Nothobranchius furzeri: one gene and its partners. The protein of the gene in region 2 purifies or fractionates together with the protein of the main gene of each other region. This does not show direct contact. Links are inferred from orthologs where the notes say so. Each region holds a gene or a part of one and is shown on either strand. Other genes may lie near its edges.

Evidence for each region. Proteins that work in one complex are often made in the same cells at the same time.
Region 1: the proteins of prpf4bb (region 2) and pnn purify together in Homo sapiens (affinity purification with mass spectrometry; 5 studies listed by BioGRID and IntAct, counting the BioPlex papers as one, with this or other methods). This does not show direct contact. The link is inferred for Nothobranchius furzeri from reciprocal best matches to the Homo sapiens genes PRP4K and PNN.
Region 3: the proteins of prpf4bb (region 2) and zc3h18 purify together in Homo sapiens (co-immunoprecipitation; 4 studies listed by BioGRID and IntAct, counting the BioPlex papers as one, with this or other methods). This does not show direct contact. The link is inferred for Nothobranchius furzeri from reciprocal best matches to the Homo sapiens genes PRP4K and ZC3H18.

The regions. Positions count from the first base shown.
Region 1 is NC_091758.1:40,472,077-40,479,819, reverse strand, and holds the end of pnn (pinin), read right to left. Parts: coding exon 7,685-7,743; intron 7,015-7,684; coding exon 6,943-7,014; intron 6,573-6,942; coding exon 6,497-6,572; intron 6,381-6,496; coding exon 6,286-6,380; intron 6,158-6,285; coding exon 6,082-6,157; intron 5,971-6,081; coding exon 5,815-5,970; intron 3,908-5,814; coding exon 3,769-3,907; intron 3,690-3,768; coding exon 2,467-3,689; 3' UTR 2,146-2,466; downstream 1-2,145. Other genes in the region: gemin2 (gem-associated protein 2), read left to right, coding at 330-440, 524-582, 681-720. UniProt on the Homo sapiens protein: Transcriptional activator binding to the E-box 1 core sequence of the E-cadherin promoter gene; the core-binding sequence is 5'CAGGTG-3'. Capable of reversing CTBP1-mediated transcription repression.
Region 2 is NC_091747.1:44,851,043-44,859,038, reverse strand, and holds the end of prpf4bb (pre-mRNA processing factor 4Bb), read right to left. Parts: coding exon 7,015-7,996; intron 6,808-7,014; coding exon 6,634-6,807; intron 6,533-6,633; coding exon 6,374-6,532; intron 6,266-6,373; coding exon 6,184-6,265; intron 6,110-6,183; coding exon 5,908-6,109; intron 5,317-5,907; coding exon 5,243-5,316; intron 5,117-5,242; coding exon 5,026-5,116; intron 4,947-5,025; coding exon 4,799-4,946; intron 4,717-4,798; coding exon 4,579-4,716; intron 4,500-4,578; coding exon 4,346-4,499; intron 4,259-4,345; coding exon 4,144-4,258; intron 4,072-4,143; coding exon 3,920-4,071; intron 3,849-3,919; coding exon 3,762-3,848; intron 3,674-3,761; coding exon 3,470-3,673; 3' UTR 3,250-3,469; downstream 1-3,249. UniProt on the Homo sapiens protein: Serine/threonine kinase involved in spliceosomal assembly as well as mitosis and signaling regulation. Connects chromatin mediated regulation of transcription and pre-mRNA splicing.
Region 3 is NC_091744.1:81,982,878-81,990,462, reverse strand, and holds part of zc3h18 (zinc finger CCCH domain-containing protein 18), read left to right. Parts: intron 1-2,376; coding exon 2,377-2,525; intron 2,526-2,639; coding exon 2,640-2,735; intron 2,736-4,630; coding exon 4,631-4,773; intron 4,774-5,391; coding exon 5,392-5,421; intron 5,422-6,825; coding exon 6,826-6,940; intron 6,941-7,253; coding exon 7,254-7,513; intron 7,514-7,585.

The DNA of each region.
Region 1 (7,743 bases), on a different chromosome or scaffold from region 2:
AGCTGTAGCTACAATGTAGCTCATCACCATCAGTGTGTGAATGTTTCTGTGCACGAGTGAATGTCTGTTGTGTTGTAAAGCACCTTGGGGGGTTGTAAAACTCTAGAAGGTGCTATGTCAATTGCAGGCCATTCACGTGGGATTTCTCCACAGTGGGTTGCCAGGGAACACGAGTATGGCCGTGCTTCATAAATCAGGAGATTGTCCGTGTGAACCAACATTTCAAATATCATTCTTAGGACGGAATACAGGAGATTCTGTCGACGTTTGATGAATGAGGTTCCTGGTTTTCCTGATTATGAAATTCCTAACGCTGCTTTTCCCAAAAGGGTTGTTGGTTGTACGCTTTACTGGCCTGCTTAGAGAAACCGTTGCTGCCTGAAGCGCACTCCTCCATCCGACAGCTGGCTAGACGGTGCGCCCAGCTCCGCAGCACTCTGGTATGATGGAAACCCGAGTGTCCTTCAGGATTCTGACGGCGTATTTTATTGTGACGTCTGTAATGATTAAATTCTTCCAACAGGATTGTCAGGAGAATGAGAATCTGCCTGCTCTCAACCTACTCATCTGTCTGGTTGCTAGGTGACTCCAATAATGTCTACATTACCCATAAAATCAACAATGCAGCTGAAGTTAGAGCCTGAAATCCTGCGACTCACCACCTCTCGTTTTTCCTGCAGATACTTTGAGCAGAGTGATCTGGCAGACCAGCCGGAGTAAACACGAAGCCGAACCACCAGGGGATGTGGCTCGTGGCAGCAAGACTCGTATGAGGAAGTGTGTGTGTGATATTTTTGTAAAGCTGAAACTTCGTATTTGTGGATTAAATTTATGATTCTTATTCTTGGTTTGCTTTTGTGGTTTTACAAGCATCCTGAATGGCAGGAAACATGGAACTAGTGAAAACCAGTGTTGTGTTGGGAACGTCACTTTTAAAAAGTAATTATTTTGTCAAAAAAGTAACTAAGTTACTTACTGAGTTAAAAAATTATAAAAGTAACTAATTACCAACAAAAATAACTTTCATTACCTTTTTTCATTAAAGAATGCAAGAGAAATGGGTTCCCCTCTTAAACTTCATTTACTATAAATTTCAACAATAATGAAATATAAATGACTGGAACATAAAATGTTTTCTATAAAACAATAATTAAGCACTTAACAGGAGGAACGACAAACAGGAACATTACACTAATCCAGACTACTAAAACATCACTGCGATATTTAACAAGACCCTAATCAGCTAACATTTATAATTGCAAATAGAAGCACCTGTAAAGGTTCCTGAGCCTTTACATGGTCTCTCAGTCTAGTTAAATTACAGAAATGTAATTTTGCACAGTATTTTAATTTTTCCAGCTTAACATAATTGCGTATTTTTAGCAACATTTCTGCTGCTGCTAATTAGTAATGGTTAAATAAAAATCCTTTAAAATGACACTAGAAGAGGCACAAGCCTGATGGAGGACTTACATTTACTAACGTGGGTCAGACCCAACCACAGAAGAGCTGAAGCTGGGTGGTAAACACACACAGGTAGCTCTGATAACACCTGAGCTCCATGACGTCTCAGACTGATGCATCAGTGTTACAGCGGGACTAAAGACGTGATCAGAAACAGGTTACAGCTGGATGATCTAGGAAGGTAGAAGATCAGGACGTCTGAGCAGGTGAGCGGACCTTCGGGACGTCCCGCTGTCACATTCCTCGTTCTTCACGAGCCATGATGCTCTTGGATGAAAACAGCCACCTCTTTAGATCTCAATCAGCTGATGTCGGCTTCACCGCCGCGCTGCTGAATCAGCAGCGCACGCATTTTCTCAACAGTAACGGAAACAGCGTTATGATAAAAGATGATAATTAATGACTCGTTACTGAAAAAAACTACTTTTAAGTAACGCCGTTATTCCCATCTCTGGTGAAAACATACATTTTAAATTTAATCTGTCGACTAATTTAACATTTTAAAACCGAAAGTCCAACCAGAACAAGGAAACACATTTATGCCAATACCTCAAGTTTATTTGAAGCAGATTACAGGATAAAAAATAAAAGTCAAATCAAAACATTTGAACAGATCACATCAGACATGAACCAGACTGGTAAACAGCTGATCAGCACGAACCATTTTTAACCAGACGACCGTTTCTATGCATCAACACTCTTAATGCTGGACAATCAGACTTAAAACAAAAGTAAAGAAACCCGGATTTAAAAACAAGCTCGGACTCGTTCACTAGAGACTCCCGTTAGAAATCACATTTTAGGTGCAGCAACAATCCACATTACAACGTAAAACACCCACTGCTCATTAGGGAAATCCGCTTGGCTTTGACCAACTACATCCAACGAGTCGCTTCATTCAAAACTTCCAACATCGAGAGGAAAAGTCGTTTACTTAAAAGAAATGTGATTAAAATGTAATCTCCCGTCTCAGCTGCAGTTTTGTTGTTCCAGAAGCTTAAATCAGTGTCTCTTGGCCTTCCTGTCTCCATCTTTATGCTCCCTATCACTCCGGGAAGACCTACCCTTCCCCTCATCGCTCCTCTTCCTCCTCTCCTTCACGTCCCTCCCACCTCCACTACTCCCGCCTTTTTTATGGTGACTTCTCTCATCTCCTTTCTTTGCATTTCTACCTCTATCCGATGGCCGACGCTTCCGCTTGCCGCCGTCTCGGCTGCGGCTGCTTGATGACGAGGAAGAAGAGGACGAGGACGATGAGGAGTGGCTGGATCCTGAGGAAGAAGAAGAGGAACTTCCACTGGAGGAGGATCCAGAAGAGGACGAGGAGCTGTTGCTTTGACTGCGGCGTTTCTTCTGCTCCTTTTCCTTCTTCCTCCCTCTGCCGTCCTTCTCACCCTCCTTCACAGGAGTGACAACAGGAAGGGCTCCAGAGGCCTCCTGAGAATCTGGCAGCTTTTGTGGGGCTTCCTCCCCCGACTCTCTTTCGACTGTCTGGCTCTCGTTGGTGGGCTCCTGGTCGTTGGACCCAGGAGTGGTGGGATTCTGGACAGGAGGAGTGGAGGCCACCTGTGGTTCTTGGGCCGGAGAAGCCGCCTCTGTGCCCCGGGACTGAACGGCTGGTTCTCCTGCAGCAAGCCCATCGCTGCGGTCTGGTGCTTCCTGGCTGCTCTCAGCTGTTTCAGATATCTGCACACCTGGAGTCTTTTCATCTTGGAGCTCCGCGAGCCGCTGCTGACTGACTGTTTCTACCTCTTTCTCCTCAACCACATCTTTCTCTGCCTTTTCCTCCACCTCCATCTCTTCTGACTGTGGACTTGTCTCCTTTTCTTCCTTCTCCTCATCCCCTTCCTCCCCCTTTTGCTCCCCCTTTTTCTCCTCTTTCCCCTCCTGACTTACCTCCATCTCTTCCTCCTCATCTTCTTCTATTTTCTTTAAAACTTCTTTCTCTTCTTCATTTACATTGCTAGTTCCTTCTCCCTCTGTTGTCTTTTTACTCTCATCCTTCTCTACCTCTACCTCTTCCTCTTCGTCCTCATCTTCGTCCATTCCCTTTTCACCCCTTTTACCTGTCCGCTTGTCTACCTGACCTGCTGGCTTACCCTCCGCTGGGCGCTCCGTCCTTGTAGCAATGTTGGCGTCCTGCTCGCGGTTCGGCTGTCGCCGGGGGCGTGACTCCATCTTGTTGAGGTGTTCGGCAAATGCCTCACGCCTCTCCTCAAAAACAGCTGATTGGAGAGAAAAGCTCAGGCGTTAGTGGCAGGGACTCGTTTGGAATAGTTGGCAAAAACACCAAACCCAGCTGACCATTTAGTTTCTTGGTGGATTCCTCGAGGAGTTTCTGAGTGGCCGAGCACATTTTCCCAGGCAGGAAGAAGAGGTGAGGCTTGGTCTTTGTGCGGATGTATTTCAGCAGGCGATTGTTGTGGCTGGTCCACTCCTCTTGCTGTTTGAGACACAAGAAAACTTATTTAACACCACCAGAAACCGTCTGTTGTTCCAGATGTTTCCAAAGCACCGTATTGATTAGGGTTGCACAATATATCGTAAATATATCGTTATCGCGATATCAGCATGCACAATATACATATCGCAATGAACGGTCAGCTCAAATGTTTGCTACACATGATGCGTTCTGTCAATCAAATGAAAGCATTATGTTTTTTTTTTTAACAACACAAATAGAGCTCTTCACCCATTTGGCCAATCAGGTGGGTTCTCATTGGTCGGATGCCCGCCCCCGAGGCGGACGGCACTTCATGTTGATGGTTAGGAAACACCCGAGTTAGCTTTGCCTCTTTCTGCTTTTCCCGGGATCCACCGTCTTTTCTTCATTTTCTTTTTCCCTTTCCTCATCTTTTACTTTTCTAATTTTTATGATTTTTTAAAAATTTCTTTGTTTTTGATTATTTTTGTTCGCGAGTTAAGTTTTTATTTATCGCAAGTAATATCGTCATCGCAATATTAATCATTACCGAATATCACAGGTTTACCTAATATCGTGCAGTATTGGCTTTAAGTTTTAACCATTTTTTAAATATGTGAGCGCTGGAGAGCAGAAACAGGGCTTTTCCTGACTACCATCCTGACCGTGCACCAACACATGCATACTCTGCATTCAACTGCCTCACTTTTATTAAAGGCCAAATATTTTTTCGTTAAGTGTTTTAATCTAAGCTTCTGTTAACAGAATATTCCGTTTGACGTTTCAAGTGAAACAAAACAGGTTTGCTGCTAAAAAATATGAAATAAAACAAAATGATCAGGCTGAAATAACACTCTTATTATGAAAGGCTCAATAATATGCATTAATTAGTGTTTAGTTCCTTTTCCCCATCTGATATTTACAGTTAAAATAATTTTAAATATTTGACCTACATTTAAGTAACATTTTAGGTTTGTATTAATAACACTCATCTTAGTCATAATAACACATAAATATATGCATTAAAATACAATGCATTTCATTAACATGCATCTGTGCTGGAAATGGTAATAACATTTAATTTCTGCTGCTAACAATGTAACGGTGGCATGTCTATTATGTACGGGACTTGGCAATAATCCAGATTAAATTATGTTCAAAGATAGAAGCGTTTCTGAATTATATACTACAACGGCCTGCCGTAGGCTTGTAGCAGTAATGTGACTCGTATCTACAGCGGTTCTGATCCGTAGCGCTGCAGGATGCAGAATAAACAGGATGGTGGGGACTTTTCATCCGCTTGTAGAGTTTAGTCTCTTAGTTTTACATCATCATATATTTATCCGTGCGCCACTTGATCGTGAGACTGCTACCCGTTAGCTTTAGCGTTAGCCAATCTGCGTGTAGCTGCACTTTTGATCCCAAACTTTGGACCGGTTCTGCCTTTGCTGGTTCCTTTATTTTCCTCCCCTGCATCCAGATTTCCACACTGTGCGCCAGTAAAAAGCATTTTTCTTACACGTAACTTTTGTTCAATAAAGTTTCAGGGGAAAATAGAAATTCAAAGATGTTGCACCAGTGCTACGTTTAAAAATAGACAGACACGCACAGACACCCCTGTACAGCCCTGCTCTGATATGGAAGAGCCTGGGGGGGAATCAGGACGTGAATAGCACCAACCACAGATCTGTACCAACTAGCGAGAAAAACAATTTTTGATCTTTGTCAGCAGCGGTTTTAGTGCTTTTCGGTGCACCGCTGCGGATACAGCACCCCTGTAGTGGTGCAACTGCAGTTAAAATAACATCCATATAGCTGGGGGCAGAGTGAAATCAGGCTGGGGCGGCACCAAATTAGCTGGAGGCGGCCGCCACGCAAATTTGAACGCAGGAAAAACCCTGAGAAACGCACGCAAAATATTTTCTCACCAGCTGAGCCAATTCCACTTTCTGTTCCAGCAGTCTCAGCTCAGTCTGCTTGGCTCTCCTCTCTTCAAACAGTTCTCTCTTTTCGTTCTCCACCTTCTTTTTCTCAGCCTCAGCTTGAACCTCGAGCTTCTGCTCGATCTCGGAGCGTCTCTTCAGCTGCACCGTGAACAGATGATGTCAGCGATAAGCAGGAAGAAGAAAAAAACCAACAACCCTCCAAAACAACATGATCCAGGCTGACCTCGGCCACCTCAGGAGCACCCTCACCTTATCTGAAGACTCGTTTGATTCCTGCTTGAATTTCTGCAGCGTTCCCATCAGCAGGCCAAACATACGCCGATTCCTGAGAAGGATGTTTCAATTTCTCTAAATTTTCCTTACATGGTTATCTACTTAAAAGATTAATATTCTATAAAAAGGGTTTAAAAGGCCTGGGTGCAAATCTAGAGCTGAAGAACGGTGTTGGCCTACCTCTGTTTGCCCTTTTCATCCATAGTCTGATCCTGGATGAGATCTCGGCGTGTTCGCTCCTTGGAGGTAGCTACAACTGACGACTGCAACGCCGGCTAAAAGACGACGTACAATTGTGAAAAAGGCAAACAAATTATGCTTTCATAAATAAATGAAACTAATTAATGGAGTTCTGCACATATAAATAGAGGAATAAGACACCCAGCCCTACTTTTTTGACATCGTCATCATCCTCGGCGTCGCTGTCGTGACGCGCGTCTCTCCTGGCCCTCTGATCTCCTGCCAGCCTGCAAACACAAAAATAAAACAATCTGAATGAACTTAAAAAGCATCCGACTGCTTCAAAATCAGCAGCACGCCTCCAAAAGTCAAAGGGTTTCAACAACAGCAGGTGATGCTTGTGCTACATTAAAAAAAAAAATCATGCAACAGATGACTTTCAAGTTTATTTATAAAGCCCTTTCCTACCCCCAATCAAGCAGACCCAAGGTGCTGAACATAGCATAAAGAAAACACAGTAAAACAGATGTGTAGTAAAATACAAAAAACAAACCGTGGTCACTCTGATCCAAATGTGGCAATCTTGCAGGAACTTTCCACACAAACTGGTGAATTTATTTATTTATTTAAAGTTAAAAAAAATTTTAAAGATCTCACCTCAACAGGGCTCCTTGAATGTCCCTCTGCTTGGCAGGAGGGCCTCCGCTCCCCATGTCTGAGAGACTACGCCTGTGAAGGAACACAACATAGGGATAAAAAAAAAAAAAATAGGGCTTAAAGCCAAACAGGACAATCAGATTCGGTCATGAGGCGAGTTCACATACACCCAGTCTGTTTTTGGTTTTATTTCCTTAAAGACACACCTGGTACTCTTCGGGAAATAATAGACTTGTATGCAATTCCCAATGAAAGGTTTAAAACTTATGCAGTCACATGAGAAACAAAATAATGCCTTTATTTAATGGAGCAGTTGGAAGCACAGCTGACTACCAGCAAGAAGGTTGCAGGTTAAAAACCTGGCTGCTGCCTTTTTGCACAGAATTAGCATGTTCTCATGCATGTGTGATGTGATGGCCTGGTGCAAAGGTTTCCTCCCACAGACCAAAAGCGTGCATGTTGGGTTAATTTACTGCATCCTAAAATACTTTGAATAGATGGGTCTGCCAAATAAATCTTTATGCTCCCGTTTCAGTGTAACATTAATCCGTGTAGTTTTATAGCCGTTTTCTATGTGGTTTTTGTCTTGTTTATAACCAACTTCATCAACTTCCTGTTTGGTGTTTATAACACAAAGGTGTTAACTTATTACATAAGCTCCAACAAAGGAAGTCAAGTTTGAATCAGCTGCATCGTTGAAGGAGGCACCATCAGCGTTTTTGACTGGAGTGGGAAGTTTTACCTGAGCAGGTTGAGTCCTCTGCCTCTACCTCCTCCCAGGCCTGCTGCCATGGGGCCGCT
Region 2 (7,996 bases):
CAGAGACTCAGTTAGCATGTTAACTCTGACTAGTTGACGACTTTAGGATTTGAGAAGACTGAACAGAAACATGATAGAATGGCTCAGGTTTGCAAACCACAACTTCTGGATGAATAGTAGATAAGACCATCTTAAAGTTAAAGTCCCATTAGTTCTCACACACAGGTGTGTGTGCGAAATTTGTTCTCCGCATTTGACCCATCCTCTGGGGAAGCGGTGAGCTGCAGACAAGCCGCGCTCGGGAACTATTTGGTGGTTTAACCCCCCAATCCAACCCCTTAATGCTGAGTGTCAAGCAGGGAGGCATTGGGTCCCATTATTTCAAAATCTTTGGTATGACCCGACCAGGAATTGAACCCCTGATCTCCCACTCTAAGATGTTAGACGTCACCTTTGTGGAAAATCAAACACACACCAGCACAACGGTGGACGTGTTACGAAGCGGGCCTGCTTTGCTCAGACTCAGCCATGAACCTGTCTGCAAACCAAAGTATTAAATAATCAATGTGGGATCATCTGAGGCTTTTGTCACATAAAAAACTATTGCAGAAAGAAAAACAATAATTACTGCAACATTTTATAAAAAAATAAAATTCAGCAAACATCAACTGAATAAAGTTTGCAGAAATGTCTTACAGAAGAAAATTACTTTGATTTGCCAAAAGTTGTCATATGAGCTCTTTTTCACAAAATACATACACTTTACAATGAGGGCCCCTCATTAACGATACTTGGTGCATTAGTAAGCATTAATTACCTAGTATTAACAACTGCTCAACCATATTAAGTAATGTATTACTTAGCAGACACCTCTTTTGGCCTCTTGTCCTAACCTTAAAGACACTTAATTGTTAACAATACCAGGAACGTTAATAAAGGGAACCTTTGTTTATTAATGCTTAATAATGCACTAAGTAACACGAATAAAGGGGGACTCTTTGTAAAATGTTACCAATACATTTAACTCACTAACATATCAAATCTGTTGCAAATGTGATATGAAATCCTTAATTAAATGTAAAAGTAAATACCTTGACACTGGTTCGGGGTTTGAATATTTCTAACGCACAGATAAAGTTTTTAGATGCCTCTATCGCCCTCTAGTGATCATTTTACGGTGATACCCCCAGCTGGTAGCAGAGCACCAGCCTGACCTCTTGCTCTCATGAATCTGAAGGCCATAAATGACTTGTTTGGTTACATATTCAGATTAAAGGCAGCCATGTCCTCATCTCTTCATGTTGAGATTAAAGCCAGCATGCTTTAGCGTGCCAGATGATTCTCACTGACACCTTCACCGGTGGTTATCCCACTACAGCCTACATGTCTTTACAAACCCCTTGAGGTTGACAGCCCATCAGCTCCGATCAGAAGCCTTATTACCAAACTCTGCTCCACTCAAGCACAGGGAGCTCTTGCATCACTCTTCTGCTTTCAAATGGGAGAAAAATAGGAGTTTTTTTCTAAACGAGACTCCCATTATGCTTTTCAGGAGCTCAACACAAGTGCAATCATGTAATGGAGCGAAGCACCAGAGTGGGAAATAGTGAAAATGGAGATTTCACTTTTGATGCTGCAAAGTTCTTGCAGCCTTGATCCTTTTTACTGTGAGTACGAACCCTCATCAAACATGTTTTCATCTTTATGCACTTATTGAAGCGGAAGTCTGATTTTTCTGTTTTCACACAAACTGTAACATTTGGTAACTACTTCTTATGATGAAACTTACCCATTGAAATCTATAGGATTTTGGTGAAACAGGGGGGTAAACCCCGCCCCCTTTTGGAGCTCTTTTCATTTCATAATGGAAAATATTGATCAAAGTTGTGGGCCTCTACATGACACGAACTGGTATTTTTCACTTATACCGTCAGTTTGAATTTGATGGGTTTTGATCAGAACGTTCGCAGCTGATTGTTTCAACTTTTGCAAACTCTTCTTACCCCTGCAACATTTTCAGTAAATGCAAATACTTCAAAATGTCGACATTTTTATCTCCTTTCACCACCGTGTCCCTTACTGCTATTGGACTTTGTCATTGTCTTCTTCTGGTCCCAGAGCACTGAGAGTTTTCACCCAAACTTCAATTGACCTTAATGTGTGCATCAAAGCATTTTAAATGATTATTTCTGATTATAATCAATTTTCATACAGGCTGAACATGAAAATAGTCTCCTACACCTATCTGCTGCATTAGCTTCTGACAGAAAATAGACGGTGACACTCTGACTTGAAAAGCCTGACAGCATGACTGTGTGAACACTCATGGACTCACCCATCTTGACTCAACGATGGAAGGCTGTTGTTGGTTAAGCATCCAGGAAAAAGCAGATAACATTTCGACTAGTAGAAGCTAACCATTAGCATTAGCAACTCCACCACACAGCAGAACTCCTCCAGGGTTGTTATTTGTGGGGATAAAACATCCATGTTGCAAAATAAAGCCTACTACTACCAGAGGCAATTTATTTTGATCTGTCTTCTGCAAACTTGATGTAGTTTACACATTCTGTTCTCTATTAAATTATGATTCTTAGAATTTCGGCATTAGGAATCATTAAAAAGCTTTTCTTTCTCTGTGTTTTATTCAATAAGACCGATCAGGGAATATTGTTCATTATGAGGTCTGAAAGAAAAACAAGCAAACAGCTGTTTGTTTACAGTAGGAAACAATTTATTACTAAAAAGCTGTTTTATACTGAAGGTGCTCTTTCAGTAGCGTTTCCACAACTATTGTTTATTGTAATCCACAAGATTGGTTTTACCACATCATGTAAAGAAAAAAAAACATACGTGAAGGAAAGCGACTTTAGACTGTATGTACACAACATTAGAGGAGAGTCACGGGTGTGGCATCGTTTGGTGTTTAACACACCAAGCTCAAACAGGAGGCACTTAAATCTGAGAGCCTTTAGAGCCAGAGAATTGGACGAGGGGTTAAAAAATGAAAAAAAAAAAAAAAACAATAATTCTACCAGTTTTAAAAATCTTAATCAGAAATGCACGTTTTTCTTTCAGATCAGGTTGTGACTGCAGTTATGGAGCTTCAACACAGGGCTGCACCACATTCAAAAGCATGCATCATCCCACTATGAGCAATGTGGTCAGAAAAAAATGCTGCACTCTGACCTTTCCTCGTCTGCTGCTTGATTTAGTTGATGCAACAGACTCGTCAGTATTTACAGGAATCATAGTTTCTTTTAATCACTCCAGTGCCATTTAAATTAAAAAGTAACTGCATTTGATGGTATGAGGGGAAGTATACAATGAAAAACAAAATCAAAGCGTGTAACTCAGAATGGCTACTATCTCAATGATCTATTTACAATAAAACACAATAAAGAATCCATTAGAGTCCTGCTGAAAGAACAAAACTGGGTGAGATTCTGAAACAAGAGTTCAGAGGTTTGCTGCTTCGCTCCAGAGCTGGTTTAGTGGTCGCTGCTGTCCTGTCCGCTCTGGGAGGGTCTCAGATCTTCTCCTGTATAAAGGGGTGCTGCAGAGCCTGGTTTATGCTGATGCGTTTAGCCGGGTCCAGCATCAGCGTGCCCTCCAGCAGGTCCTTCAGCTGCATCACCTTCTTCCTCTGGTCCTCGGGCAGCCGCTGGCCGCCGATGAGTTCAGACAGCAGGTCTTTGGTGGGGTTGATGGTGCTCATTACCGTCACCTTTTCCTGGTGAACCAAAAAAAAAAAAAAAAAGTCAAAGTTAATAAAAAATCACTTTAATATCAGGGAAACAGAATTTAGAAGACCTTCTCACCCTTTCAGTCACTTTGTCTACTTCAATGTAGAGGAAATTCAAGTTCTGGTCGAAGTGCTGGTCTTTGAACAAACCTTTACGAATCATCTGAAGAAACACGACAGGAAGTTGCATCACGCGCTGAACAGCAAACACGATGTGAAATGATGCGAGCTTACCTTGTTGGGCATCTTGCCCTTCAGGTCCATCGCCAGCTTCAGCATGTGATTGTTGGAAGATCCGGGGAGCAGGATCTTCCCGGTGTACAGCTCATACAACGTGCACCCCACCGACCACATGTCGATCCCGTAGTCGTAAAGCTTTCCTATGACTGAGGGAAACACGCTCGGAGTGAAGCTCAGGCGAAACAGAAACCGAACAAAAGGAGAAAATTTAAACTTACTGATTTCTGGAGCTCTGTAAAATCTACTGACAAGATACGGTGTGATGTCATTATCAGCCACATGTGAGGCTGAGCCAAAGTCACAAAGCTTCAGAATGGTTTTAGACTCGTTCACCTTGAAAGAGGACCAAACATAATGATGTTAAACACACGCGGCTGTTGTTCTGAGCACTCTGGAAGGTTGACTTGTGTTAGACCGCACCAGGATGTTGTCTGGCTTGATGTCAGCGTGGAGGATGTTGCATCGCTTCAGCAGCTTGAGCGCCAAGAAGAGCTGCTGGCTGTAGGAACGCACAGCTTTGATGTGGAGTCCAACGTCTTTACCGTACTTCTTCAGCACCTCTCGCAGATTCATACTACGGGTGAGACGGGCAGGTGGTCATCAGATAAAAGCTGCGGTGAGAGATGTAAACAAAGACGGTTTCTCCTGGGTACCTGAGCGGCTCAAACACCAGACAGAGATGCTGCTTGTGGTAGAAGTGTCGGAAGAGGCGAAGGCAGTGGAACTTATCGTCAGGATCGGCATCGTTTAGCTTCCGGAGAAATTCTAACTCCTTCAATCCCGTCTTCTGCCTGTTTACCACAAACATGAGCGTTAGAGAATTAACAAGATCTGACAAACATTTATACAGGCCGTGTGGATGGCTGGACCCACATGAGCTCGTTGTTTCGGATGATCTTGACTGCCACCTCCTGGCCGGCTCTGGCCGTGTCTCTGGCTCGGATCACGTTACTGAACACACCCTGCCCCGTGTAGCCGTACACGTCGTAGCGCTTATCTAAAGTCTCGCCGATGTTTACTCCTGAACAACAACACAAACAAACCACAGGGTTACTATGGGAGTAGAATGTAAAGCACTGGAACCACCAGGGAGGATTTACTGTAGTATCCTTCTGCATCGGTCCAGTTGTCCCTGAGGTTTGGGTTCTCCTTGAAGTCCTTTCCCACGCCGGCTGCTCGCATCCTGGCACTCTGCAGAGGCAACAGAAAAAAAGGACATGTTCCTTATCGTCCAGTGTTTCAATCGCACCCTTTTGGGTTAATTAACATTATAATAGAACAAAATAGCACCAGGATGCCACACGGGTCCTTACTTACATCAAAATGAGCAGCAAACATGTCGTCTGACTCCGTAAACATGTCGGGGGCCGAGGGCTTCTTTGGGTTGGCTCCTGGAAAAAAACAACAAACAGCAACCAGAGAGACAGGATGAGATCCGGGGCTCACACACGTCATCCTAGAACAGTAAATCTGGAACATGTGTTTGATTCACATACTGTGCAGAGATCAAAACATGCTGCAGGAGGCAGACACAACCAGGCTTTGGAATACAAGCCAGCAACTGAATGAACACATGACAGAAGAAAAAACAAAATTATAACCCCTGCATGACAAAAGTGCATTTCTCACACAGTCCTCTACTTCAACGCCGCTCTGGTGTCACAGGCTGCAGGGAAATGAACTCATTTATTGTTCATTCAGCGATCGGATGAAACTTGATCTGCTCTGGTGGCCGGAAAAAATAATCTGGAAATTTTCAGATTGAAGGTAAAATTTGTGGTTGATAAAAGGAGAGGAGCCCATCTGGAGCTTTGAGCTGAACACAGATGCACGTGCTCATCAGCGGCAGCTGTGGTGACTCGTGTCACGGTCTATAAACAGAACCGTTTGTAGCTGCGTCCTTGCTCGCTTACAGGTGACGGCGCGGTTCATTCAGTTGGCCTTGTATGCCAACAGGACTCGTTATTTAACGGGGACGTTACCGTCTTTCTCCTGGGCGATGAGGTTGTGCTTGGCTTTGATGCTAGCCTCGAAGGTGTTGACGTTCTCGCGTTCATACTCCTTCACATCTGCGGCCACTCGCTCCAGGATGTCGTCGGGCGAAGGAGAGCGGCTCCGCGTGCTGCTCTGAGGGCTGCTGGGCTCCGACACCATGTTGGTGTCTTCGTTCAGGACCTTGTATTTCTGGGTTAGGGAGGAAAGGTTCAGAGAGGGGACTCCATCTTTATCTGTGGTTGTAACCAAGATGGAGACCAGACCTGGACGATAGCCATGCGCTGCTGGCGCCGCTGCTCGATGAGGGCTTCTTCATCTATCTCCTCACCTTCAAAGTCCTCCAACCTGAAAAGAGCCAAAGTCACGGAAGAGAAATGATATCTGGTCTGGATGAAAACATTCACACAGCTTTTATAAGTGATAAAATATCTGATTTGATCGCTTTTTACGCACACGTCTTCTTCTGAGGACTCCTGGTCCACCTTCATCCCTTCCGACAGGCTGCCCTTAAACTTATCTTCATCTCTGCTGCGCCTCCTCCTCCTCTCCCGGTCACGAGACGTGGAGCGTCGGTACTGGCGGAGCCGACCGTACCGGTCTCTCTCTCCTGATCTGTAAGTCGTTCATTTCAACGCGGATGAATAATCTCATCAGAACACTAAAGATTATGTCATCAGTTCCAGTCTAAAGCCACATAACAGCGTCACCATCACCTGTGTCTGAGCAGAGACCGGCTTCGTCTGCGGGGGGAGGAGCGGGAGCGTCGCCGTGGTGATGGGGACCTCCTCCTCAGAGGGGAGCGACTGACACGGCGGCGAATGGCGGGCCTAGGACTCCTTTCCCGAGACCGGTCTCTGGCGGGCCCAGCGTCAGGTCGAGGCCGCTTCCTGCAGGATCAGAGGAGAACTCTTTCATCCAATGTCGTCAGAATATTTATTTTGTGTCTTCCTCACTTTTTAATTTGTATTTTAACGACTCGTTTCAACACAGATTGGTCCCACGAAGCAGTATTCTGACCCTAGGCATTAAACCGAACACAAATGCTTTGTGGGTAAACAGATAACCACCTAACGATGAAGCAGCGAGTGACGAACCTGAGGGGTGAGTCCTGCCTGTCTGACTCCCTCCTCCTGAGGTCCGGTGAGCGGCTGCGGCCCCTTCTGGGGGGAGACTTGGTTCTGGACGGAGAGTGGTTCTGTTTTGACGTCCGCTCGGAGGCGCCAGTCGACACATGGCGACTGTCTCGGTGACGAGGAGAAGCACTGCGTTTCCGTGGAGGGCTGTGAGGCCCTCGTCTGTGAGGGGAGCGGTTCTCTTTCCCCAGCGAGGCGTCCTTAGACGGAGACTTGGCGACCCGTTTGTCCCGATCTGCATCTGAGCGGCTTGGCCGTTCTCGTACTGGTGACCTGGACCGTCGACTTGCTCTGTCCTGGTTTGGCCTGTCATCTCGCTGTGGAGAGGAACGCTTATCAACACGATCGGCTTTCTTCTCGTTCTTTAAGTTGGAAGGAGAACTAGACTTCCGTCTCTCCTTGGGCCGATCAGTGCTGCCCGAGCGTTTTTTGTCCTTAGACCTGCTCCTGCCACGCCCTCTGTCCTTAACGCCCGCGTCCTTACTGCTTTTGGTCCCTTTGTCCTGCTTAGACTCCTTGGCGGGTTTCTCTGCAGACTTGCTACGACGCTTGGAGCTGGACTTACTGACCTCTGTTGAGTCTCGCCTCGATTTCCCACTTTTCCCCCCTCTTGGAGAGATGGGTTTACCTGAGCTGCCCCTCAGACGCTGCTCTCCATTCCTGAACCTGGCGTCTCCATCCTCTTCAGACCCAGAGTTGTAGCCCTGAAGAATCAAACCCATGCCAGACTGAACCTTGCCCTCCATCAGCTGACTGTCCAGTTCAGCTTTAATCATGGCCCTCTGTTTCTCCAGGTCCTCCAGCACGGCCCTGTCATCCAGACTGGGATTCCCAGAAGAGGGAGACGACTCCACCTTCTTGTGGGTGGAGGAACCAAAGAGGGCGGCAGCAGACGGGGAGGTGTCCTCTTTGCGTTTGTGTTTCCTGTGTTTATGACGATGCT
Region 3 (7,585 bases), on a different chromosome or scaffold from region 2:
CTAAGTGGTTGACGTGGTGCATAAGTATAAATATCTTGGTTCTTGGATTGACAACAAGTTGTGGTTTGACACAAACTCAGACTCCATTTTTTAACCAGCAGAGCATCTCTTTTAAGGAAATGGGATGATTTTAATGTGAATAAAAGGATTCTCCGCAACTTTTACTGCTGTTTCATCTAGAGCCTTTTAACTTCCTCACATGCTTGTACAAGGGCTTGTCGGTGGAAAATAAGAACAAACTGCAAAACATTGTTAAAAATCTGCTCTAAAATCATTGCAGTTAAACAAGGAGACCTCCAGTCTCTGTGGGAGGAGCAGGCACTAAAGAAGGCTAAATGCATTTTGGGTCAGCTACTCTACTCATGCCCTCAGACAGAGCGTTGTTTTTATGTACCCTTCAGGGAAACAAATCCTTGCTCCAGCTCTTTTGTCCCTTCTGTTATTAAACTGTTAAATCTGGAAGGAAACATGGACTCTGAGAATGGGCCCATTGTGATGGATATACAGCACTGTAATGTTGGTAGTGATATACATTGTTTGTTTGTTTGTTTGTACAATGTTGTTTTTTGTGGTATGCTACAAATTAATTGCCCTTTGGATCAATAAAGTTTTCTGAATCTGAATCTTATGTAATAATACATTTTCCCAGTTTAATCAGCATTGCGGTAAAATGTCTTGTCTGATGACATCATGCAACATCTGGCAAAGAATTAAAACTTAATGGGAAATTTAGGTAACTAACTGTATCATCAGCTGCGTATAAAATATGTCATATGAATATAATAGGTGTATTGTACAAAGGTACGTTTCTCCTGTGTTCTGGGTGTAACTCGCCCATCGAGCCCAGAGCACTTCCTTTCTGAAAGCACCGTAAAGCCTTCACACTAACGGGTCTTTGTGAAACACGTCAAATCATGATGACCCAATCAGACCTCAGATCAGATTCTGTCGTGGCGTCATTTTTCCCATTGGCCTGTTTTCACTCTGCTTCCTCTTTTCCACAGTTCTCCTTTGACACAACAGGCGTACTATTTGTGTCACAAAGTCTGCTGCTTCACAAACTTCTGTTATTAATGATGGTGAGGAACCCAGTCAGAGCGTTGCTGCAGAACCCGATCAGAGCACCAGTACAGAACCTGGTCAGAGCGCCGCTGCAGAACCTGATCAGGCCACCGATACAGAACCTGGTCAGAGCGCCAGTGCAGAACTCAGTCAGAGCACTGCTGCAGAACCCGATCAGAGCACCAGTACAGAACCTGGTCAGATCGCCGCTGCAGACCAGAACCCTGCCAGAGCGCCGCTGCAGAACCCGATCGGAGCACCAGTACAGAACCTGGTCAGAGTGCTGCTGCAGAACCTGATCAGACCACCGATACAGAACCTGGTCAGAGCGCCAGTGCAGAACTCAGTCAGAGCACTGCTGCAGAACCCGATCAGAGCACCAATACAGAACCTAATCAGAGCACTGCTGCAGAACCCGATCAGAGCACCAGTACAGAACCTGGTCAGAGCGCTGCTGCAGAACCTGATCAGACCACCAATACAGAACCTAATCAGAGCACCAGTACAGAACCTGGTCAGAGCGCCGCTGCAGACCAGAACCCTGCCAGAGCGCCGCTGCAGAACCCGATCGGAGCACCAGTACAGAACCCAGTCAGAGCCCTGGTGCAGAACCCGGTCAGAGCACCGGTGCAGAACCCGGTCAGGACACTGGTGCAGAACCCGGTCAGGACACCGGTGCACGGTGCAGAACCCGGTCAGGACACCGGTGCAGAACCTGGTCAGAACACTGGTGCAGAACCTGGTCAGAGCACCAGTGCAGAACTCAGTCAGAGCACTGCTGCAGAACCCGATCAGAGCACCAGTGCAGAACCTGGTCAGAGCGCTGCTGCAGAACCCGGTCAGAGCACTGCTGCAGAGCAGAAACTGGTCAGAGCACTAGTACAGAACCCGGTCAGAGCGCTGCTGCAGAGTGAACCCGGTCAGAGCACCGCTGCAGAACCCGGTCAGAGCACTGGTGCAGAACCCGGTCAGAACACCAGTGCAGAACCCGGTCAGAACACCAGTGCAGAACCTGGTCAGAGCACCGCTGCAGAACCCGGTCAGAGCACTGCTGCGGAACCCGATCAGAGCACCAGTGCAGAACCTGGTCAGAGCGCTGCTGCAGACCAGAACCCAGTCAGAGCATCTGTGCAGAACCTGGTCAGAGCGCTGCTGCAGACCAGTTTTTATGCAAACATTTTTAGTTTTATTAGAAAGTTAAAGATTGTATGAAGATTTCCGGTTTTCTGCTTGCCTATGGACAAGTTTGGGTTGATCCTCCGGTCTCATGCAGCTCTCTCACCTGGAGTATGCTTTTATTCCGTCTCTTCTCAGGAAACTGTACCTGGGGTATGAACTGCAGGTTCATCCATCCCGGAGTCAACGACAAAGGAAACTATTCTCTCATCACTAAGCCGGACCCTTTTTCACCCAATGGAGCGCCCCCTGGTGGACCGCACCCTCTCCTCCCCAACAACCCCTGGGTGAGTCTTGCTGGAGTGACTCATCATGAATGTCATCTGTAATATCAACAAGGGGCTGGGTTCCCTTGTTTATCTGAAACCTGAAAACCATAAATGTCTGTTTCCGTGTCGTAGACGGCCCCCGCGGTGGAGGAACTCCCTCCACCTCCTCCCCCTGTGGAACCTCCTGTGGAGAGCGCCTGGGAACGAGGGCTGAGGCACGCTAAAGAGGTGAACTCTCTCTCTGTTCTCCATGCAAATCAAACTGGGACGACGCTCTCCCAGTTTGATTAAACTGCTGTTAAAATGTTTATTCAGTCACGCATTCACACCAGATGGAAATAGGCCTGGAAACGCTGCATTTGCAAGTTTATTGTGCCGTCACCTTTTCCGTTCAGCTGTCCAGGACATGTTCCCTACCCCGGTTAGCTGATGTTTGTTTATGAAAACCTTTTTATCGACATCTAAAAACTCTCGTGTTTTATGAGACAAATGAGAAGCATTAATTCTGCAGCTGCCTGTTCTTTAGTTACTAAAGCTGGCACAGTGACTCCATGTTTATAACGGTTGTGCCTCATTTATGAAGCTTTTAGATCTTTAATGTTACTGTGCCTCACCAGGCTTTTATTTGTTTAAAAAAATTCTCATTTCATTTGCAATCAGTTTCCCAACCCCTCCCAAAGATGTCTCATTTCCCCACTCACAGAAGCTAAACTGAACGAGCCTGATGAGCAGAACTCACAGATTTCCCCTGTGACCTTCATCAAGCTTGGTTTATGCTTGACGCATTCACTTTCCGCTTGGTGATGCGGCTCGCGGCTGGAACGCGCTTCACAACTCGCAGCGTTTATGGTTCATGCGGCCGGCTTGTCTCTGCGGTGAGCCAATATTCTCCCAAACTGTAGGGGGCAGCATGGAGCTCTACGGCATGCATCCAACACTACACCATAGTAGAAGTAGAAATTACTGTTTACAACATGGCATTCCAGCATTTTTAACAGCGTCCTCGTCTTTTCCGACAGCGCGAGCTATTTCTCTCCAGGAATTATTAACAACATGTTGATCACGGTGATCTCTGAGAGCTGAAGCATACAAATGTCTGTATTTACGAACCTCTGCCATACTAGTTCTTGCCGGTCCGCCATGTTTTTCCGCGTCCGACCGTCCGCGTGGTTAGAAAATTTCCTAGGTGCGCGTTGCGGAAATTTTGGGCCGTGCGGAGGCGTGGTTGTTAAGATGACGCAAAATGACGCAACTTTTCCGCGCGGACATCGCGAATGCGTAGCATAAACCATCCTTTATTATCATCAAACCACTTGTAGATCCTTGTAAAGCCGGGCGTACACTGTGCGACTTTTTCACTTTTTTGAGCCGATTTTCCACTCGTGCGAGAATCCACGAGATCTGGGCGAGTTTTGCGCTGAGCGTCGTGTAGTGTACAGGGGGTTACGAGAGGCGATTAACACCACTTGACCAGCTACCGATCAGCAATCGTGAGCTTGCACGGACTTCTGGCGTGTTTGATGTTTTGCTCGTCCCTCGTGAGGGTATCGCACTGTTGAAGCAGTGCTGTGAGCAGCTGCGACCCAAAAAGTACCAGAACCGCTCACGGCGCATGCGTAATCATGCTTCATCACCGCTCGCCCGCTATTTCCCTAATAACACACGTTGTTCGTTTTTATTTCTAAATGTTTTTTTACTCACAAAGATTGTCAAGAAAGCGTGTTTGTCGTGTTCGTGTCAAATTAAACTGATCACAAAACACAGATTTATTTTATTTTTTTGTTTTCCTCATCCAACCCCCATAAATCCCTGTGTGTCCTCCTGCAGCACTCCCGAAGGACAACAGGCAAGACAAAAAAGTCTCACGTGTTGTGTAAATACGGCTATTTTTAGCATATTTTTAGGTCCGACGTGTTGCTACCAGACGTAGAGTGTGAGCAGTCAGGTCGCATCCGAGAACTGGGTCGTACAGTGTGAGCGCATGACTCGTGAGATCTGCCCTGCCAGGAAGTCGTACAGTTTGAGCTGAAGCTGAGTGCTACGAGTGAAAAAGTCGCACAGTGTCCGCCCAGCTTAAAAAGACTCATCTGTGTTTAAGACTGTTTCGTTTCTGTTGCTGTCAGATGCTGAAGAAGGCGACCATCCGAAAGGAGCAGGAGCCAGACTTTGAGGAGAAACGGTTTAATGTGACGATTGGAGAGGACGAGCGAGAGTTTGACAAAGAGAACGAGTTCTTCAGAGAGCGAAGCTACCGCATCATCAGAGAGTAAGACCCGTTTACCATCACAATATTTACTCCGTCTGGGTCGGAATCCATTTGTAATGTGATTACTTGACATTTGGACTAGGGATGCAACGATACCACTTTTTTTCCAAACCGATACAATACCGATACTTGGATCTGAATGCTTGCCGATACCGATTACTGATACCTATACTTCTACCACACAAAAAAATGCAATGATTTGGAATACAGATTTTATTTTCTTCTCTGCTTTCAACAGGAAAAGACTGTGAGGTGGATAAAAAGTAAAATATATTAATAGAAATCATCACAAAACTAAAATATTAGGTGAACAAAAATGACAAATTACAGTGAAGCCATTTTCAAGCAAGCTGCATTGGTATTGGTTCCTGGTATCGGTTAACTTTTACCGATACCGATACCAGTATCGTATTGGTATCTGCACAGATACCGATACCAGTATCGGTATCTGTGCATCCCTAATTTGGACCAGCCTGGAATATTTCTGTTTTGGTCGTGGTTCTGAGTCGGCTTCGTAAAAAGTGGGCACGGGTCATGTTTCCCTTAGAGAAAAAACACTTTTCCTAATTAATAATAAATACCAATACTTATTCAACTTATTTTGTTTTTCTCTTTCAGTGAAGTGGACTTCAGAGATCCTCTCTATGGGTATGAGTAAATATAACTTTAACCTGAGTTCTATAGACCATCTGTGTTATGGGATGTTCATTTTAGGGTTGGGTGATTTGTACGCTTTTTCCCACCAACAATCCTACGTCCTGTAAATGACGATGGCCGATTTATTTGTGCATGTGACTCTTTGAGCAACGTCATGATGCACGGACCGATATAGGAACACGGTAGAAGTACAAACACTGATTTTTTTTTGTTTATAGAAGCACAGCAAATATGTTTGCTGGAAGAGAAAGTCTGATTTTTCTTTTTGTTTAATTTTGTATTTGTAGTTTGGTAGTGACGTATTAACGGCTCGTGTTAAGCACAGTTCAAGTGTTAAAAAGAAGCCTCATCTTCGTTTCCCTGTGGTGCCCATCATAGTGGTATTTTATTTAAGCAAAGGTTTTTGTTTTGTTTTTTTGAGCAAAAGCTACTGGTTTGATGGCATCACTTTCGTGAAGCGCATTTGTAGTCCTGGACTTATTTTCACACAAAACCTAAAATGGCATTACCCCCTGTTTTGAAAATAAGCGTGTTCTTGGTATCAAAATGTGTCTTTAAGATTCACGGACATCATATGTGAAATCCATGGCACAAAACAAGCGGAATTAGAAAATAGTAGGGCTGCAGGATATTAGGAAAACCTGCGATATTCGATAACAGTGATTAATATTGCGGTGACGATATTACTTGCGATAAATAAAAACTTAACTCGGGAACAAAAATAATCAAAAACAAAGAAATAAAAAAATCATAAAAATGAGAAATGCAAAAGATGTGAGGAAAGGGGAAAAGAAATTGAACAAGAAAAGGCGATCAGTGGGTCCTGGGAAAAGCAGAATCAGCAGAAAGAGCTAAACAAAGCTAACTCAGGTGTTTGCTAACCATCAAAATGTAGTGCCGTCTGCCTCGGGGGCGGGCATCTAACCAATGAGAACCCACCCGATTGGCCAAATAGGTGAAGAGCTCTGTTTGATTTGTTTAAAAAAAATCATGCTCCCGTTTGATTGACAGAATGCATTACGTGTAGCAAACATTTGAGCTGGCCATTCATTGCGATAGTTATCTGTTCTTTGCGATATGCATATTGTGCATGCTGATATCGCGATAATGATATATTCACGATATATTGTGCAACCCTAGAAAATAGCGTTTTTTACCCTGTTGGCTTGCATTCATTTTTTCGTTCTTCCGGGGACCAGTGATGCGGAAGTTACTTAGGCTACCTATAAGGTCGTGGTTCTGGAAGGATCCAATAAAAATGGGATTTTTGCTTTAGTTTTTTCAATAATTTAAATATTTTTAAAGTTTTGATGTTTAGTTTTTGTTTTGGTCATGAAAACAAATGTAACTTTTCTTTATTTTAGAGTCGTTCTGAACCATGTTTCTCCTCTCTAGTGACGCCTACGCTGACCCGTACTACGACTATGAAATGGAGGCCTTGTGGCGGGGGGGTCAGTATGAGAACTTCCGGGTTCAGTACACAGAAGCTCCTCTTCCCTACCACTTCGCTGTGAGTTTCCCGAATAAAAGCCGAAGCCGCCCAACTCATAAATAAATCCTCATATTGTTTTTATTTGTCATTTCACGTGATAAAATGACATTTTCTGTTTCATGTGTCTTAATTGCTGTCTGCGGAAAACTCAGCATCCCTTTTTTTGTAGTTAATGTTGTGAAAAAATATTGTTTGAAATAAATCATGTGTAGCAGCAGGAGGCGTGTCAGATATCATCTACGTAGAAAGCGACTTCCAGCTGTAAACTTTAAACAGATTTGAGGCAAAAATGTCTTTTTTCGTCATTTTTCACTGTTGACTTAATCTGCAGGAGCGAGAACGTGAGCTTCGAGAGCGCCATCGAGATCGCGAGCGAGAACGAGATCACCGTGAGAGGGAGCGGCGGCAGCGTGAGAGGGAGAGAGAACGGGAGCGTGACAAGGAGAGGCTGAAACGGAAAGAAGAGTGGGAGAGGGATCGGCTGAAGCGGGACGAGAAGGAGAGGCCAAGAATCCGTCCTCCTCGAGAAGCCAGGGAGAAGAAGGAAGAGGAAAAGCTGAAACCACGTTCACCCCCCAACCTTCCTCCAAAGTGAGTTACTGTTCCCCAGAGCGATCCTTCGTCACGATTCAGTTCATCACTACAGATGTTTGATTCCACAAT